Canis lupus familiaris: one gene and its partners. The protein of the gene in region 3 interacts with the protein of the main gene of each other region in a pairwise test. Links are inferred from orthologs where the notes say so. Each region holds a gene or a part of one and is shown on either strand. Other genes may lie near its edges.

What was found.
Region 1: the proteins of CDK6 (region 3) and CCND2 interact in a two-hybrid assay, tested with the Homo sapiens proteins (2 studies listed by BioGRID, with this or other methods). The link is inferred for Canis lupus familiaris from reciprocal best matches to the Homo sapiens genes CDK6 and CCND2.
Region 2: the proteins of CDK6 (region 3) and CDKN2B interact in binary tests that used the Homo sapiens proteins (3 or more experiments, as listed by UniProt). The link is inferred for Canis lupus familiaris from reciprocal best matches to the Homo sapiens genes CDK6 and CDKN2B.
Region 4: the proteins of CDK6 (region 3) and CCND3 interact in binary tests that used the Homo sapiens proteins (3 or more experiments, as listed by UniProt). The link is inferred for Canis lupus familiaris from reciprocal best matches to the Homo sapiens genes CDK6 and CCND3.

Annotation. Positions count from the first base shown.
Region 1 is NC_049248.1:5,497,902-5,502,955, forward strand, and holds the start of CCND2 (G1/S-specific cyclin-D2), read left to right. Parts: upstream 1-1,733; 5' UTR 1,734-2,044; coding exon 2,045-2,239; intron 2,240-4,048; coding exon 4,049-4,264; intron 4,265-5,054. UniProt on the Homo sapiens protein: Regulatory component of the cyclin D2-CDK4 (DC) complex that phosphorylates and inhibits members of the retinoblastoma (RB) protein family including RB1 and regulates the cell-cycle during G(1)/S transition.
Region 2 is NC_049232.1:41,374,705-41,380,019, forward strand, and holds CDKN2B (cyclin-dependent kinase 4 inhibitor B), read right to left. Parts: upstream 3,354-5,315; coding exon 3,328-3,353; intron 3,292-3,327; coding exon 3,162-3,291; intron 1,663-3,161; exon of another isoform or gene 449-1,662; coding exon 188-448; downstream 1-187. UniProt on the Homo sapiens protein: Interacts strongly with CDK4 and CDK6. Potent inhibitor. Potential effector of TGF-beta induced cell cycle arrest.
Region 3 is NC_049235.1:18,374,454-18,379,597, forward strand, and holds the start of CDK6 (cyclin-dependent kinase 6), read right to left. Parts: upstream 3,207-5,144; 5' UTR 3,055-3,206; intron 2,422-3,054; exon of another isoform or gene 2,095-2,421; intron 1,815-2,094; exon of another isoform or gene 1,606-1,814; coding exon of another isoform or gene 1,479-1,605; exon of another isoform or gene 1,116-1,478; coding exon of another isoform or gene 463-1,115; exon of another isoform or gene 220-462; 5' UTR 1-219. Other genes in the region: uncharacterized protein LOC102152579, read left to right, coding at 463-1,115, 1,479-1,605. UniProt on the Homo sapiens protein: Serine/threonine-protein kinase involved in the control of the cell cycle and differentiation; promotes G1/S transition. Phosphorylates pRB/RB1 and NPM1.
Region 4 is NC_049233.1:10,783,385-10,786,577, forward strand, and holds part of CCND3 (G1/S-specific cyclin-D3), read right to left. Parts: intron 1,661-3,193; coding exon 1,501-1,660; intron 944-1,500; coding exon 807-943; intron 282-806; coding exon 114-281; 3' UTR 1-113. UniProt on the Homo sapiens protein: Regulatory component of the cyclin D3-CDK4 (DC) complex that phosphorylates and inhibits members of the retinoblastoma (RB) protein family including RB1 and regulates the cell-cycle during G(1)/S transition.

The DNA of each region.
Region 1 (5,054 bases), on a different chromosome or scaffold from region 3:
AAAAAAAAAAAAAAAAGAAAAAAGTAATCTGCCCGGTAACAATCAGCGCGCAGTAGCAGGAGCCCCAGAGCTATTGGCTATGCAAATAGAGGGAGGGGAGACGGCGCCCCAAACTCTTACTCACCCTTTTAAAGCGATATCCCCCCCTTCCCCCCCACCCCTTCCGCCCCACCCTCGTTTAAAGGGGCTGGCCTCGGGGCCCGAGTTAATCGCTAGCACCTCTGGTTTATTCACTCCCCGCCTTCCCTATTCCACTCCCCCCGCTCCTTTCAGGGAACCGAGTGTACAGCTCACCCAGCCCCCCCTCCCCGCCAGCTCTCCACACCCCGGTTCGGGCCCCCGGCCTCCGCGAAGGAGGCGCTCGGTTGACCACGGTGTGTCCCGAGCCCTGACCCACGCCATGCTCCCTGCACGTGCCAGCTCCGCCAACTTGCCGGGGGCGCTGGGCTCTCTCCCCTTCCCCCCCAAGTGAAATTACACTGAAACCCGGGGGAGGGGGGCGGGGGGGGAGGAAGAAGGTGAGGAAACGCCACCATATCCCCTGTAAAAGCAGCCTTGACCCGGGGATGCGTTAGAGCACATGTCGGAGCCGACTGCGCTGGCAGCGTCCCCACCGCAACCCGGCTCCCGGGGAGAAAGCCCTGGCTGGCGGGTGAGGCATGAACCCGGAGGGGTCGGCGAGGATGCCAGCGGAGGACACAGGATGGAAGTCTCGGGCCTCCGAGGAAAGGAAGGGGTGGTGTTGTTTGCGCAGGGGGAGAGAGGGGGAGCCAAACCTAATCCCTCCCTCGCCCCCCTCTCCTCCCCTCCCCCTCCCGGGCTATTTCCTAGAAAGCTGTATCAGTGTGGCCACGCTCGGCGCAGACACCTCGGGCGGCTTGTCAGCAGATGCAGGGGCGAGGAAGCGGGTTTTTCCTGCGTGGCCGCGGGCCGCGGAAGAACCGATGGTAGCCCTGCCCCCCCCCCCCCAGCCTGCGGCAGCCCAGACCTCTTCTCTCCTGCTCCCCGTGGCGCCTGTAGCGCCCCCAAGAAGGGGAGGGTTTCTGCTTCAGGGTCACATTCTATCACGTCGGAGAAGCCGCCCCCTCCCTCCTAACACCCACCCCTTCCTCTCCTTCCTCTTCGCACACACAGGCGGGGTGGGGTGGGGGGGCGTTGTTCTGGCCCCTTTAATCGGGCTTTTGAAACAGCCCGAAGTGATCCAGGAGCTCAAACGTCCGGGACAGAATCTTTATCTCTGGATATCCGAGGTTGCTATTTTCTAAAATCGCCCTCCTTATTCTTCACTTAAGGGATCTGCTTATAAATTGCAGGAGCCCACCCCATCTTCAAGTGATCCACTCGTCATTCTCGGATCTTACATGCATGGGCAGGAATGGAAAGGTCAATTTTGAGAAAGCCAAAGTTGGAGGGTCGTACTTGGCACGATACGCCCACAGAATGTGCGAAATTAGAGGGAATAAGTAGGAATCGGTGGGGTTTTTTTGTGGGTTCCCCTATTCGGGGCCCCTGGCATGCAGGGCTGGATAGAGGGAAAGGGCCTCGGAGAGCTAAGGAGAGGGGTGGGGGGGCGGGGGACCGCGTTTGAAGTTAGGTCGGGCCAGCTGCTGTTCTCCTAAATAACAAGAGGGGAAAGGGAGGGAGGGACGGAGAGATTGAAAGGAGGAGGGGAGGGACGAGAGGGGAGGGAAGGGGAGGAGGAACCGGAGAGGGGAGCGAGGCGAGAGGGAGGAGAACTAACTGCCCAGCCAGTTTGCGTCACTGCCTCGCAGAGCAGAGAAGAGCGAGCAGGGGAGAGCGAGACAAGTTTGAAGGGGAGGGCAGGCAGAGTTAGCAGCCCCCGAGGCTCTCCTCTCCCAGCGCCCTTCCCTCTCCTCTCTTCTCCCCAGCCTCTGTCTCTCTCTGCCCCATAACTTTTCTCTCGAAAACCCCCTATTTAGCCAAAGGAAGGAGGTAAGGGGAACCCTCTCCCCTCCCCCCTTCAAAACCCCCCAACTTTTCCAGTCCGGAGAAAGCAGGGGAGCGAGCGGGTACCCGACTGGCCATGGAGCTGCTGTGCTGCGAGGTGGACCCGGTCCGCAGGGCCGTGCCGGACGCCAACCTGCTCTACGACGACCGCGTTTTGCAGAACTTGCTCACCATCGAGGAGCGCTACCTTCCCCAGTGCTCCTACTTCAAATGCGTGCAGAAGGACATCCAGCCCTACATGCGCAGGATGGTGGCCACCTGGATGCTGGAGGTAGGTCTGCAGACGGACTCCGTCTGTCCCCATCCGGATAGACGCCCACGCTCCCCACCCCCGCCCCCAGCGCAGGGACCCTAAAACTGGGAGATGGCAGGATCCGCGCTCGCCTCCGCACTCCCGCGCGCGAGGTTACCCCTCGCCCTTTGGCGAGACGCGTGGCTTCATTTCTGTTCCCTGCAGGATGCTAGAAGAACTGGGGGAGGGGAGGGGGGGAGGAGGAAAATCTGGGAGAAACGAGACTGTCCTGGGGCGGGGGTGGGGGAGCATCCCGCGCGCGTGTGCCTGCATGTGGCTGCCTCTTCTTCCCACCCCCATCCTGATCTGTCTTTTGCGAAGCTGCGGCTGCTTTCGGTGCAGTGAAGCTGGGAGTGGGAGCGTGGAATCGGGGCCCCAAAGTAAAAAAGAGCAGCCCCCCAAAGGCCAGAGCAAAATCGTCCTAGCCTCAGGTCCCCGCATGTGGTTGCGACTCCGCGTTGGCACTTGGGGGGGGGGGGGGGGAGGAGGGGGGGAGGAGAGAGGAGGAGAGAAACGGAGAATTCAGGAGCCCCGGAAGTCGCAATGAAGAAACGTGTGTTTTAGGGGAACCCAAAAGAACCACTTCTTTACCCTTGCTCCAAATCTTTGCCGAGCGAGCCGTGTGCCCACGTATGCACGGCTCTGGACCTGCCGTGGTTTCGCCATGTTGCTTTGCAAACTCCGGCTGGAAAGGCTGGAAAGCGTTGCCCGCTCGCCCCCCGCACCCCGTTAGCCCGGCCCCCCCACTTGCAATAGTACCCTCTCCCCCAGCCCCCACCTCACGAAGGTTACTTACAGTTTGGCTTTCCAGTTTTCTCGGTGCGGAGATTTGGGTGGGGTAGGAAGGGGGGAGGAGGTGTGTGTAGGGGGGATGTCGGGGCGCCCCCAACGGAGAGGTCAGAGCCCCGGGTGCTCTCCGGCGGCGCCCCGCTCCTCGCCTTTCCCCCGGCTCCTCACCACGGTCCCCGGTTTCTGCCCTTGCGGGCCGCAGCCGGACGGACACTCCCGCCGCGGCGCTCACCCCTCCAACTTTCCCCTCGGGATCCAAAGCCCCAGGGGTTGAGATACAGACCTTTCCGGCACCCGAAATCTCCGTTTCGGGAAGCCTGGTTCCTCTGTGGGGTTTTCACGCCAAAAGGGCTTTTCTAGGATATTTCCTCGATTTTTAATTATTTTTTGAAACCGTCTCCCCAGGCTCCGAGTCCGCCGCCGAGGCTGCGGCTCTTCCTCTTCTCCTCCCTCCCCCTCTCTTCCCCACCTCTCCCCACCCACCCCCCCAATAGCGGCGCCTGGGCCGCAAGGACGCCCCCGGACATTTTTTTCAATTGTCGGGAATGATAGAGCAGGGTCCGGGGCTCCGAATGAGACCAAGAAGAAGACCCCCGGAGCCTCCAGAATATTTTTATTGATTTTTTGAAAAGATGACGAAATCCAAAAAAGAGAGTGTGAGTGAGTTAGAGGGAGCAAAGAAGTCAGTAGCCAAAGGGAGCGTCGCCGAGCCTGGCGGCTACTGCGCATTTGTTTGCCTCCTCGGTTCGGATCTTCAGTTCAACTCTCTCTTACGTTCCTGGGGAGTACCCCAGCACCGACCATTTAGATTTACCCCGTTTTCCTCATCTTTATTCTTATCACATAGTCTACTCCCCTCCCCCTCCCCGCTGAAAAATTAAATATTTTTGCTTCTTTCCATAGGTTATGCCTTTTCATTTCTTTTTTTGTGTATGTGTGTTTTCCTGATATTCTTCCCTCCAACCACCCCCACCCAACCCATTCCCGCTCCCATCTTAGGTCTGTGAGGAACAGAAGTGCGAAGAGGAGGTCTTCCCTTTGGCCATGAATTACCTGGATCGCTTCTTGGCCGGGGTCCCAACTCCTAAGACCCATCTGCAGCTCCTGGGTGCTGTCTGCATGTTCCTGGCCTCCAAACTTAAAGAGACTATCCCTCTGACCGCAGAGAAGTTGTGCATTTACACTGACAACTCCATCAAGCCTCAGGAGCTGCTGGTAATGACAATCTCCTTTCTATTCCTCCTTCCTTCTTTGCTCTCTCCAGGCCTGGCGAGCTTCTACCTCCTGCTCCCCAAACAAATCCTTTGGATCCCAAATTACCACACTGCTGGAATTTTCACACTTCCCGGAAATAACGCTTTAAATACAAATTTTTTTTGTGTGTGTTCCTACTGTGTGCCAGGCACTATACTAAGCACTGAGGCTACATCCAGGAATAAGATACCCAGATACCCCAAGACATTTGTTGTGTCGGTGAAATTCAATTACAGTTGTGCCTGTGTGTGTGTGTGTGTGTGTGTTTGTGTGTGTATGTGTGTGTAGGGGAAACCTGGAACACAGTGATAACATTTTAATTAAATTCAAATTTTCATCCACTGAATTCTAAGAAAATAGTTCGACTTCTCACATGGTAGGAATGTGCCCACATGATAGGAGTGTGTTGTCCTGTGTGTCCTAAGAATCTACAGTTCAAAGGTAACATCAATGGATAAACTCTCAAGATACCTGTACATAGTAGCTGTTAACTAAATATCAGCTCATTGACTTTGGAGCCGAGTCAAAATTTGGCCTTTTTATTGGAGGAATCTGAAGCCTGGGTTCCTAGCTCCAGCGGGGCTGTGACCTCTTTGCCATGACAAGGGTCCTGTCTTGACTGGTTTTCTGGCAACAAACCTTTTTCCCACCCGGTCTTAACTCTTTTTCCCTGCAGCTTCGCACTTAAAGGCGTGTCCGTGTTACGGCAGTGTGGTTTGGGAGAGTGGCACCCAGGCCCACCAGGAGTGGT
Region 2 (5,315 bases), on a different chromosome or scaffold from region 3:
AAAAAGAAAAAAAAAAAAAAAAAAAAAAAGCGAACTTACTCGCGGTCTGCTGCTTCTCCCCACCGTGACTCAAGTCTCCTGGAAGGCTTTCGGGCTTTCCGCCGCTCCACATTTGTAGCCTCCCTTCAACTGGGCTGGGGGTGGGGAACCGGGGAGAAACGTTGTGGGCGGCTGGGGGTAGCCGCCCTCAGTCCCCCGCGGCTGCGCGCAGGTACCGGGCGACAGCGCCGTGGCCCCGCTCCTCAGCCAGGTCCACGGGCAGGCGGCCCCAGGCATCGCGCACGTCCAGCCGCGCCCCGGCTCGGTGCAGCACCACCAGCGTGTCCAGGAAGCCCTCCCGGGCCGCGTCGTGCACAGGGCGGGTGAGGGTGGCGGGGTCGGCACAGTTGGGGTCGGCGCCGTGGAGCAGCAGCAGCTGGGCCACGCGGGTGCTGCCCATCATCATGACCTGCCGGGAGAGCAGAGTGGTCAGGGCGGCAGTGGTCAGGGCAGCGGGATGCAGGCCTGGGCAGGGACAGGTGGACCATTTCAAAGAAATACCTATTCAGGAAGTATCCACCTAACACAGAGGCGCTACAAGCCTCAGGAGTCCGTTATACTTTGTTGATGCAGTCCCAACACCCCTCACCCTCACCCTCACCCTCGCCCTCGCCCCGCCCCCGCCCCCGCCCCAGTTATACTCCTTATTCGGCTCTGAGTTCCATCTTATTCTCCAAACACGCGGAGACGAGAAAGCGCTGATAGAAAGCGCTAAGAGTCGTTGTGCGAAAAAGAAATTTTTGGTTTCCCTTGGAACATGGGCATCTATTTTGTTAAATGATTTATGGGGGGAGTTAAGTTTAAAAGCTTTTAAAATCTTAAGATTATTTCTCTTGGTGGCTCTCCCACCTCAGCCATAATCTAGCTCTAAAAATATTTATTAGGCAGTTGATATTTTTAAGAGAGGCGTTAGAGGAGAAATAGTGCTTTGAGTTTTTTATTTCTTTTAATAAATTCCCTGTTGGAGGCTTTTACTTTTCACTCTCATATATATCTGTGCTTATAAATTGAATATAGTCAGACAATTTTGAGTCCAAATTGGATATAGAGGGGGAAAAAGGAAAAAAGTCATATCTAGTCTTATAAGATAATGAAGTTATTTTTTTAACAAATGGCTTATCATTTTTAATATTTTAAGTTAACATTATAACATGTTTAATATTTTAAGGGATAAAGTTTTTTTTTTAAGATTATTTATTTATTCAAGAGAAACAGAGAGAGGCAGAGACAAAGGCAGAGGGAGAAGCAGAGGCTCTCTGCGGGGGAGCCGGATGCAGGATGTGATTCCAGGACCCGGATCAGAGGCCCAACCACTGAGCCATCCAGGTGCCCTGGCAAGGGATAAAGTTTAAAGGATAATATATTTAATGTAACATAAACATGTAACATAAACAGTATATTTACATTATTCAGGATTTTATAATGTCATAGGATTTTATAATGTTAGATAGTAAATAATTTGCTATGTATAAAAGAACTTGGTTGTCAGTCAAATCAGAGTAATGTATAACTTAGAAAAAAATGTTCTGGAGCTGTACTTCTGTAGCATCTACTTTTGTATATGCATTTTATACAAGTATTTACTTTCTCATTTTAAAAATAAAACAGTTTTTGATAACTAAATATCCAAAATGGAGTTTTTCTTGTGAGTTTAAGTATTTTAAGATGTACTACGTAATTGAAAGATAGTATACTATTTGTTTCATGAATATTAAAAACATCCATTTCCTCCCTTAAAGATATGATATGTTATTTCTATTAGTGATGTATGTAAGGTATTTCATATGTAGAGGGGAAAAAAGTGGTTCTTAGAATCTCAGAAAATGAATTAAAACTATAATTAAAATTTCTTTTTAGTTATTAATATCATTTGAAATCTTAAATTATCCCTCATTTCTTTCTCTTTTTTATTTATTTTTTTAAAAAGATTTTATTTATTTATTCATGAGAGACACAGAAAGGCGGAGACACAGGCAGAGGGAGAAGCAGGCTCCATGCAGGGAGCGCACCGTGGGACTCGATTCCAGGTCTCCAGGATCAGGCCCTGGGCCGAAGGCGACGCTAAACCGCAGAGCCACTCGGGCTGCCCTCTTTCACTCTTTTTAAAAGATTTTATCCACTTATTTATTTGTGAGAGCACCCACAAGGGAGGAGGGACAGAGGGAGAGGGAAAAGCAGCCGCCCTGTAGAGCCTGGAGCCTGATGCTGGGCTCAACTCCAGGACCAGGGAAGGGCTCATGACCTGAGCCCAAGGCAGACGCTTAAGGGACTTAACCACCCAGATGCCCCTAAGCTATCCCTCAAGTCTTATAACACTTTTCTAAGAATGCAAAAGGAATGAACATATTTTCTTTTAAAACCTACACGATTAATAGGGTTCCTTAATAACAGATTGGTTCTAGAATGTGACATCGAGATGAATACTAACCACTATAGTCAACAATAAGGCACAAAATATTACTTTGAATTTTAAGGGAATTAAAAAATATCAGTACTAATTAAAGCTGGATTAATAAACATTGGATAAAGGGTGTTAACAATGAACACTGCTAACGTAAAAGGAATTAAGTACTGTGGTCGAGGAATCCTGGCTTATCTCTTTGTATTCATTTTGCCTCTATGAGAAAAGAATACGAAGAGTTTCATATCGCAGCCTCCCAGTGCAGGTAATTCAAGTTCAACGATTCCGCATTATTCCTTAAATCTAATTCGGATTGTGTAACTTGCCGTTTAATCATCTCTTATCAATGAAAGTTGATCGATATTTATTGAAAGAGAGTCGAGAGTTTTCCTCCCCAAACAACCTCTCCTCTTCCCCCAACTGAATCTATCCCTTGCACTTGTGATCACGGGACGGGAGAGAGAGTATGGACATTTCCCCACCGCTGCAAAGAAAACCAAACTTAAGTAGCGTTTGTTGTTTGTTTGTTTGTTTGTTTTTTCCGATCCCTTTCTTTAGGATCGTCGGTGGGGGAGAACCTGCGCGACACCTGGGCCCCACGGCCTCACGGAGGAGACACGCAGATACGTCGGCGAAGCTCTCGGTCCCCGTCGCGTCCCACGGAGGCCGCTCCCCTGCGTTCCTGCGCCCCCTGCCGGCGAGGCCCCGGGGCCCCAGCTACCTGGATCGGGCGCCTGCCGAAGCTGTTGACTCCGTTGGGATCCGCGCCGGCTTCCAGGAGCTGCCGCACGGTCTCCGCCTGCCCCTGCGCCGAGGCGCTGGCCAGGCCCGCGTCGCCGCCGTCCCCGCCGCCGTCCCCGCCGCCGTCCCCGCCGCCGCCGCCGCCGAGCAAGCCCGTGGCCTCCTCGCGCATCTCGCAGCCCGCAGACGCGGACGGGCCGGGAGGATCCACCGCGGGCCGTGAGCGGAGCTTCGTCACTCGCCTCCCTGTTTCCCCTCCTCGTCCCGGCGCCCTCTCCCCTCGGGAGGAGAGCTCAGGTCAGCTTTCAGCCCTCTTCCGCCGTCCTCCGCGGCTTGGGGGCCCGGGCAATGGCCGAGCCCCTCGTGGTGAATAGGCTTTCCCGGGCTCGCTCCCGGGACGAAGCGCCTCGGGTGGCCGCAGCCGAGCGCAGGGCGCGTCCGGCCGCCGAGGGCAGGCGCGTCGCCGCGTCCACACCGCCCAGCGTGGCTCCGGCTAGGCGGAGAGCCCGCACGGACTGAACCCGTCTGCGGCCGGGCGGCCGGGCCGGGCAGGGCACTCCCCACCCCCTTAGGCTCCGCCCCCGGCCCGGCCGGCCTGCGCGGGCGCGTCCCACTGCGCGGGCGGGGAGGCTCGGCCCGCAGTGACGTCACAGCCGACGGAGTCCGGGCGGCGGGGCGGGGGGCGGGGGGGGGCGGGGGGGGCGGGGGGGGGGGGGGGCGGGGAGGGCGGCGCGGACGGCGCTGGGACGCATGCGCCGGACTCGGGGCGCCCGCAGCCTGCAGTCCCGCCCGCCGAGCGTCCTGCAAGGCCTCAGCTAAGGTTTTGGAAAAGTTGAAGCAACGCGCTCAGTTCCTAATCCCCTCCCTCCAGCAGGCGGAGCAGAGGGTTTCTGTTCCTTGAGCCCCGTGCCGGCTGCTTTCACGCCGGAGAGACGTTAGTCTCTCTCTTGTGTGATCGAATGGCTGGCTAAGAGAAAGGCTTTTAAAATAACTTTGTCTCCCTCAAGATTTCTGAAAGTGACAGCTTTGCACCTGTCACGCAGGTTAAATTCATCCCCAGGCAGTACTTGAACTTCTCTAGCTTCACATCTTGCATCAACCTTAGCAAATTTCTTTTGGGTGTGTCTTCTTAGCTGAATCAGTCAAAAATCAGTCACGGTGAAAAATCCTGAGAATCCTGTTTGAATGTGCTTTTTATTCTTTTCATCTTTGAATAATGGGTACACACGCGCGCGCGCGCGCGCACACACACAAAACCCCCCAAAAACCTAGTTTGAGATTGACAATGGCAAGCTGGTGTTTTTGAGACATTTAAAAAATATGAATATGTATTTTAAGAATCTGAGATTCCAATTTCATGATGTTTGAATAATATTTTTGTTTGCACTCTTACCTATTTAAACCCACTTTGCAAGCATTTGGTTTTTATTTATGATGAGTAATAAAGGAAATTTATGCAGTAATAATGAAACATAATAAAACAGGGGTGTGGTGCTGGGCCTGTCATTAAACGGGCTGAACCTGTCATTAAACCCTCTTCTGAAGATTTAAAGGCCAATTGCTTTTCTTCCCAATCTGCTTAGGTGAGTTTGAATTAACATATGCATTGCTTTAAAGATTTTAAGAAATTACAGCTGATGTTTGATTGAAATAGGAAAAGAACCACAAGTTATGTATCTGTTGCCTGAAAGTTTTGGTGAGGAGCTACGTTAGACTGAGCTTCTTCCAACATGGAGCAGTTCTTATTTACAAGATTAATTTTGGTTCAGAGTGCAGAGGAAGAGTCTTTAAGGAAGGGCAATTGCTTGCTTACTCATAAATGAGAGTTTATTTCACATGTTTCTTCTAGCATACCTTAGCTTGGACCTAAGCTCTTTAAAGACAGAGGAGCCTATGGAAGTGGTGGTTAGGAGTGAAGAGCTACTAACTGAGACAGAGTTGAAATCCACCCGGATAGGGAAGGGAAGGAGGCAGCATTAATAACCATTTTCCCCCTCTCTCTTGCCCCATCCCCATTTCTTAGTTTTCAGTTTCTTGATTTCTCTATCTTTCCCTCTTATTTGGACGTTCACTCTTATCTGAATAAGAAAAGCCCCCTTATTTGTTGATAGTGGCTCCATTCCTTGGTCTGGCT
Region 3 (5,144 bases):
GCGCTCCGGCGCTCGGGTTCTCGCGGCCGCTGGGGCTGGATGGAGCGACCTCCCCGCGGGCGGGCGCAACCCCGGTGCCGCCGCGAAACTCCGCCTGCCGAGTCGCCAAGGAGCGAGCCGATCCCTCCTCTTCCCTCCCCGAAGCGCAGTCCTCTGCACAGACACCGAAGCGATTACATAGTCTCTACCCCTGCGCGTCTCAGTCCACAAGCCTTCCACCTAAAAGAAGAGACGGGAGGACAAGAAAAAGTGCAATCAGACATCCCGGGCGCCTTCCTCCGAGTTCCCGCAGACTCCCCTCCTCCTACTCCATAGAGCCCCCATCGCTACCCTCGGCGCGCTCCTGCCCTCTCCCAGGCTGCTTAATCCTTCCTGGTTCCTCCGAGAAAAGCGAAGTTACTTTTCTTTCCCTGCAGAGCTGGAGCCGTCTTCGCGCAGAGAGGTTGCAGGGGCCCCTCGGGGATGAGCGCGCGGCGCGGGACGCAGTGGAACGGGAGGGGGCGTGCCGAGCAGCCCAGAGTGTGCCGGGAGCGCGGGGGAGGGGAGGTGCCGGGCACGTCAATGTCACGGCTTAATATTTATCCCTACATCATTGTGTTGCACTGCTACCCACCCCGCCCCCCCGGGCCTGGGCGTGCAGGGAGAGGGGCTCCGGGGTGCCGTGGGGCTTTCGGGGGTTGTGCCCAAGCTGCTGTGGAGGGGCTGTGGGTCCACCCGTGTGGGGCTGCCGAATGTGGGTGGGGGCTCCCGGGACCCTGTAACCCGATGCTGGGAGTGTGCGAGGAGGGGTGGTCAGACATCTGCTGGGAAATTGCTTCCTTTCTTTCTACTTTCAGTTTTTCTGCGAGGAGACATTTAAAAACGACTTGCACACACAAATGGTCTTTTTGGGGTAAAGAAGTCTGGACTGGAAACGAAATTCTTCCTCCGACTCGGAGGACCTCCCTGGTGGAAACCCATGAGGTCGGGGAGGGCTGGGGCTCCCGCTACTCGGGAGTGGAGGAGCGGTGGGGCCCCAGAGGGGGGAGTCGCCCAAAGGACCGTAAGGGTGGGAGGACGGGTTATTCGTCGCACTTTGGCTTGTCATCTCCTGAGAGAGTAACTGCGGGAGGAAGGTAGCGTAACCGCGACTCGCCCTGAAATCCTCAACTAATTTCAACCTCATCAAAACCCAACCTCCTCTTAAAAAGGTTGGGGGTGGGAGGAGTAAATGCCAAGCCTCGGGGGTGAGAGAGAAGGGGCTGCGCCCTGGGCGCCGGGACTCCGAACCTTTCCCCACTCCCTGGAACTTCTCCAGATCTTCTGGATCTGAAGTTGCAGAGGTGGCTGCTCCATTCCTCCCTCCGCTCGAGGCCTGGTCTCATCAGGCAGGGGCCAAACGCGCCCCCCGACCCCCCGACCCCGCTCGGGGCCCTCCGCACAACACAGTGCGGGGGTGGGGAGGCAGGGTAGGGACACGCTTTCCCCTCCCCATTCAGTCGTAATCCAGGGCCGCCGCGGCCTCGGCGGTACATTCGCCACGCCGGCCGCGTGTCTGGAATCCCCGGGACACCTCGGAATTACCTGCCCCGCACCGCCGGCCGCTCGCCTCCTGCCAGGAGTTAAACAAATGGCGCGATCCCCACGGCGTGCTGGCAGAGGGGACCGCAGCGAGCGCAGGGCCCCTCACACTCCATTCAAAGCTCTCCTTAAAAGGTAAAGGCGAGTCCCGGGGGAGAAAGGACTGAGCCCCCCAAGAGCCTGCGCGGGGGTCCGAGCCAGGCCTAGGGCCACACAGGTAGCCGCGGAGCCGCCGGCCGCGCCGCCCGCCCGCCCCTCCCGCATCCCCCTCCCCGCCGCAGTCCGACCGGAGGCTCAGCAGCTCCGGCAGCGCCGCGGACGTCCCACCCCCGCAGGGAGCTGCGCCCGCTGCCCCCGCCCGGCCCCGCACCGCCCGCCCAGGCTCCCCCCTCCCCCCCGCTCCCCGGACCGTCGGCTCCGGCGGAGAGAAACGGGAGCAACAGTGCCTTTTCCCCCCCTCTCCTCCACTTTTTTTTGTTGTTGTTGTTGCTTTCCCACGCTGGCTGAATGTGACTTGACCCCATTTCAAAAAAGTTTGACATAGTGCTTCAACATTTCCGCATTCCTCCGCGACTACAAAGGCTGCAGCCGCCTCCTTCTGCTTTCTGTCTCTGCTCTCTGTCTTCACACTCAATGAAATCCTTCATGTGCCTCTCCCGAAGCCTGCCAAGCACCGCAAGGGTCGCCACCAGCGCAGCGACAAGAGGCCGCACGGGGACCACGACTCCCGCGTGTGCGCACACGCAGATGAGCCCCACGTGCACACTGTGGGGCGCGCTGCGGGGCCCGGCGCTGCTCACCGCGGGGTGTGCGTTCTAACTCGGATACTGCAAATTAATAAAAGTAAACTGGGAAGCTAAACGCCAACGTGCGTCCTTGTGGGGCTCCAAGCCCGTGCACTGGCCGCCTGCGTGCACTCCTCTAAGTGTGCATAACACCCCCGCAGGGGAGGGGGTTCCAGCAAGAAGCCTGCGTTAACATTGATCTCGTGGTGGAGAAGGTGGAGGCCACACCCACACCTCCGCGAGCTGGAGAGTGAGCTCCGGTGGGGAAATGAACGTGGGGCACGGAAGCACAGTGTCCCGCATGGAGTCCCCCCCGAGGCAGTGCATTTTAAACTCTAAAGGGTAGATTATTCTTTGAGGGTCCGAGCGGAGTTTATATTCCGCTTTAAGGAGCCTGATGAGTGCGTGGGTGTTTGCGCGCACGGCTGTGTGGGAGCAGCACCGGATCTTAGTGTTGGGGGGTGTCCCTGGTATGGGATGTCCTTCCCTCGCCAGATTAGGAGAGAGTCCTCTAACTCCCCAGGACTGGTCCCCATCCCTAGCCCGCCTCGGGTCGTAAGGGGTTAACTACAGCCGATTCCGAAGACGTACACCCCCCACCACAGTCACCTCCACCCACACCCCCGCTTCCGACCCCGGCCAAGCTCCCGAATCTCCCCCGGGGACCCCCCACCCCGCAGCCCACCCACCCGACCGCACTGCTCCTCACCTGAGGGGCCCGGCCGCGTCGGGCCTCCGGGGAGGGCTGCGAGTGTCTGTGCGACCTCCGCACGTGTCCACCGCGCGCCGAGCAGGTAACCGGCTCGGAGGAAGGAGGTAGCGGCGCTCTCTCCCGCGAAGGGGTGGGCACAGCGGCGGAGGGCGGAGGGACGGCGGAGGCACGGCGGAGGGCGCCGCCCGCGCCGCACGCTGGGGGCGGCCGGGGGCTGCGGGGCGCGGGCCGGGGCTCGGGGCGAGCCGGGGCGGGGGCGCCCCCCCCCCCCCCAGGCCGACTCTGCCCGAGACCCACCCGGAGGCGGCGACGGGGCTAGGGGCTCGCTGCGCCGAGGCAAGCAAGTGTGCAAATTAAAGCCTTCCGGAGAGAGGGGAGGCGGCGAGCCCGGCTGTGCTCCGGGTCTCCACTCCCCAACGCTCGGCTCCGAGTGGGGGGCGGGAGGGCGGCGGGGGGGGGGGGCAGTTAAATGAAAATTTCCGGCTTTCGCTGCAACTGGAGCGAGGGATCTTGCAACTAAAATACGAGGCGTGAGAGGGAGAGTGGGACGTGTCGTCGGGAGTCCGCGGAGTTTCCAAACCCAGGGTCGCCGGGAGTTGGGGTTTTGACAGAGTGAGGCGGGGGGACCAGCAGGCTGTGATGTGGCCGGGTGGGAAAAACACAAAACAACCAACCATAATTATGAGGGGCCGGTGGGGGTGGGAAAGACCAACACTTTCCAAGAAACTGAAAAATCAGACCAAAAAAATAACTCTTCTCTATTTAAAAAAAAAAAAAAAAAAAAAGTCTGGCAGGGCGCCTTGCAGAAAAGAAAATACTAATCTGTCCAAGCACTTTTCACTTTCAGCATGAGCTACATTTGTTTTGTTTTCCTTCGCTTCCTTTCGGCCTCACAAAGCCCTATCTTTTCCTTTTGGACAGAGGATAGGATTTGGAAATTGTCAGGCACTCTGTGGTTAACGACGTACTTGAAGGGGCTCGCGGGTTCACAATTATTAAGTGGTTAGCAATTGCTAAGGGTTCACTAAGGTGTTTCTGGGGAGCTAAAAAGACTAAAATTTAATATAAATATCAGAACTGCAAGATAATGGATACACACACACACACACACCCCAAACAAAGAGAAGAGAACGTGATTCAGTGGGTGCTCAGTTTAAATGCATTATTGGAATTCTGAAATTTGAAACCTTGTAAGAATGTATACTTTACCTGCTGAGAAAACCTGAATACAATTATTGCAGGTGAAAATGAGATTTTTGACAAAAAAAAAAGCCCTCAAGACCCTGCAAAGGAGTAAATCCTCCCCCCAAAAAAGCTGTTTTTGTTTTTTTTTTTTTGTTTTTTTAAGAATCCAGTGTTCTCTAAAGTCTGTATCTGTAGAATACTTGAAACCCTTTTAAACATCTTAAAGCAAAGTTAAAACATTTATTTATTTCAGATCTCTAGAAGAACTGAAATCCAGCGAAATACTGTTTGAATTGGAAATATTAACCTCAATAAATTTTTTGACTTTTTGAATTAAACCATGTTGCCCAATGTCAGAGTAAATCAAAATTTCGCCCTTATAAAATTAATTCCAACTACAGTGTGAAGTAACAGGTTAGGCAAATTAAAATTTTTGCATTTTCATTAGGAAATATTTTATAATACATTATAGTAATTTGTTCTTGAATGATAAAAGTGGATATTTGTGTTTTTTTATGCTTAAGATAATTCATAAAATACATTTTGTGTTTAGAAGCATGTCTTCTAAAATTCAATTTCTGAACAAAATTTGTAAAGGTATCTATAAACTCATAAACCATATAGACTTAAGAAAACAAATTTAGATTTTGTATTTATGAAAAATATTGGTTCAGTACAAATCACTAATTAGACTTTAAACCAGAGATGCAAATGAGACTCTTACATTTTTTATAATTGCTACATTTATCAATGATTTTTAAAACAAGATTTACTTGCTGGTGATTTACACATTTATGTAATTTAGAAATAATTGTCAATAAATAGTCATAGGAACCAGCAAATGACTGCAAGAATTTATTTGGGTAAATAATTTGTTTAAAAAATAGTAAGCCATAAATGTC
Region 4 (3,193 bases), on a different chromosome or scaffold from region 3:
GAGCCCCCTCAGGTCTCAGATGTGGCGTGGTTCATTCCTACAGGCAGGGGGGTGGGGGCAGCATTTGTCCCCTCCTCTGCTGCCAGGGGCCACAGGAGGGGGCCTCTCCAAGGCTACAGGTGGATGGCTGTGACATCTGTGGGAGTGCTGGTCTGGCTGGGCCCCTGGCTACTGGAGCCCCTGGGGGCTTTGGGCGCCGGGCTGGGCGAGGTCTGGGCGGCTTCTCTGAGGCTCTCCCTGAGCGCAGCTTCAATCTGCTCCTGACAGGCCCGCAGGCAGTCCTGCAAACACGGGGGTGGAGGTGGGGGTAGGGGATGGTAAGGAGTGACTGCTGGGTAGGATGGCAGAAGGTCCCCTTTGGGACTGAGGGCTCACTTCCCACCCCCACAGCATCTGGCCACAGGTGTGGAGGAAGGACACCTTCCAGCACACAGGGAAGTCTGGGGAGGTTAAGCCACAGCCCAGCCCCAGGAATCAGCCTTTAGTTCTAAGAAACTGGCAAGAGGATGTGGCAAGGGGGTGTGAGAGCAGCCCTGCATGTGACAGCAGATCCTCCACCCCACCCCTGCACACCATTTGGCAGGAAAAGGGCACCCAGGGACAGTGCCCTTCAGCCCACCCAAGTCACCTGCTCTTCTCCAGACCAAGGCAGGAGATAAAAGGCCACAGAAGCCCCAAGGGCGGGGCACCTGAAACCAGGAGCAGGGACTAGGTTAGGGATGCATGCCTCCCTCTGCTGGAGGCTCCGGGAATAGCACTGCTTCAGGAACTGCTCACAGGCTGCAGCCCAGGGGCCCCACACTCACCACCTCAGTGCCTGTGATCCCTGCCAGCAGCTCCGTCAGCTCATCCCCAGATGTGGAACAAGCACCCAGGCCTTGCACTGCAGCCCCAATGCTGCCTGTGGCGATCATGGATGGCGGGTACATGGCAAAGGTGTAATCTTGGAAGGAGGGAGAGGGAATCATGAGAGAAAGGCTTAGCGTGGACTTCCTATTGCTCAGAAAGTGCCAGGCAGCTGGAATAGAGCAGGGGGCATACTGAGAACTCCCTGCAGTGAGCTCTGGAGGAGCAGCAAGGGAGAGAGGCAGGAAAGGGCCTCTCCTAGAGAGGGCCAGGGTGGACCACAAACTTCCACAGGTCCTCAGGCCCAGGGTGGTTGGGAAGTGAGCCAAGCCAGGGACCGAGGAGTGAATGAGTCTTCCTGGCAAGAAAATAAAACCAGGGTCAGAAAGCCCTCGGTTCTGCTCCCAGCTTAATCACTGTGAGACCGTGAGCAAGTCCTTTCTCTAAGCCACCTACATAATGGGGGGTCTGTCAAATCCCATACAACTCTGATTATGTTCTGCTGCCTTTTCTGCACCCCCTCATCTCAGAGGGGATATTTTGAGAAGAGTCTAACCCAAATTTTGAAAGGAATCTAACTCAAAATCTAGTTACATGCCACCCTTCCAAGTCCTTGGATTTTCTTCACTTGCCAAAAGTGTGCGGGGCTCTTACCTGTGGCACAGAGGGCCAAAAAGGTCTGGGCATGTTTTTTGACCAGGGCTTGTCGGTCCTGGGGCAGAGAGAGCCGGTGCAGAATCAGAGCCAGGAAATCATGGGCAATCACAGCTGCCAGGTCCCACTTGAGCTTCCCCAGGACCAGCACCTCCCAGTCCTAGAGGTTGGGAAAGAGGGTGGCGTCAGTGGCTGAGGAGGGAAGGGAAGGGAGTAAAGCAGAAGTCTCACGGAAGGAAACCCACCAGACTTGAAGGTCAAGCCCCCAGTTCTGCTTCTGGATTTAAAGACTGGTGCTGTGACATGAGGAGTCCAGAGCACAGAAAAACTGGGGGTGTCTGCTTTGGGCATCTACTGCTTATTTACAAAGTATCAGAACTACACATTTGATATAAACTGTCCTTTTCAATCCCGTTTGGTTATCTTCCGGGGGCCAACAATCCAGGTCTTCTCCTGACTTCACACAGAGCTCTGGGCACTTCTCCAGCCAGAGTTGAAAATAAAAACCACCAGCAGCATCATCACCTTGAGCCTCCTCTGGGGTGAAGCAGAAAGACTCTTCGTAATCCCAAGGATTTGTGAAAGGGGAGACCATAGCCTCTCCAGTTCTGCATCCCTGCCAAGGCCACACCCCTTGAAGAAACCGGAATGAACATGAGGCCCCACCTCCTGTGACACAGCCACTGAACCAAGCCTGAGGTTCCTCAAAGGGGGAGGTTGCCCAACCCAACCCACATCCCGTTGGTGGGACACTGGGGGTGGGCCTGAGATGTAGCACCCCACTCCACCCCCTTTACCTGGAACCATAGTGGCTAGTGTCATTTAAGTCTCAGGAAGCAAAGTGGATGCCAAGCCAGACAGGATGGGTCCAGATGATCCCTGAGGGACCAAACTCTATCTCCAATGGCTCATGGCCCACACCTACATAGCACTGCTAGGTCCTGGAGGGAGGCTAGGAGCCCCACCCCAATCCACGCATCTGGGGTTCCTAGTCCTGGCCCCTTTTCTGAGTTAACACATATGAGGATTTCTTCATTGTTTTATCTCAGGAAGGAACTCATGGGTTTGGCCCCTTACTGAGGCAGAATGGCAACCCCGCCCCGCTTCTTCCAGGTCCCTAGTCACAGCTGTCCCTCTCTTGGCCCCCACCTAGGTGTCATCTTCCCAAATCAGCCCCAAGCCCCTCACAGGGCCCTACAGAAAAGAGCCTGGCCTGGAGCCAAAAGAAGTTGGACAGAGAAGCCAGCATTCTAGTCATGCTTGTCCCAGTGCCTCAACTTGTAAGAAGTGAACAGAAAGCACCTTGCCTCCAAAGAAACATCTGGAAGGCAACCTGGAGTGGAGGCATGGGGTCCCATGTGAGGAAAGGTAGCCACCCAACCCTGTGTCCAGGCAACTCCTGAAAATCTTAGCCCTCACCTGGTGGAGGACATACCCCTGGGAGCGATTAGCGGCAGTGGCTGGCGGCTTCCACATCTGTAGGCTTTAAGGCCACCGGGGCTAGCCTAGAGGACCCGGAGGCTCCTCATGTGCCTCAGTGCAATGCTTCCCTCCTCTGGGCCTCAACCTCCTCTGCTAAACAAGGATTTGGACTGACTAGAGTTCTCTGCAGTCCCTTCCAACTCTGACCTTCCAGGAAGGCATCTGCACACTCCACCCCCCAGCTCACGCAGAGGGAGTGGAGGAAGAGTCC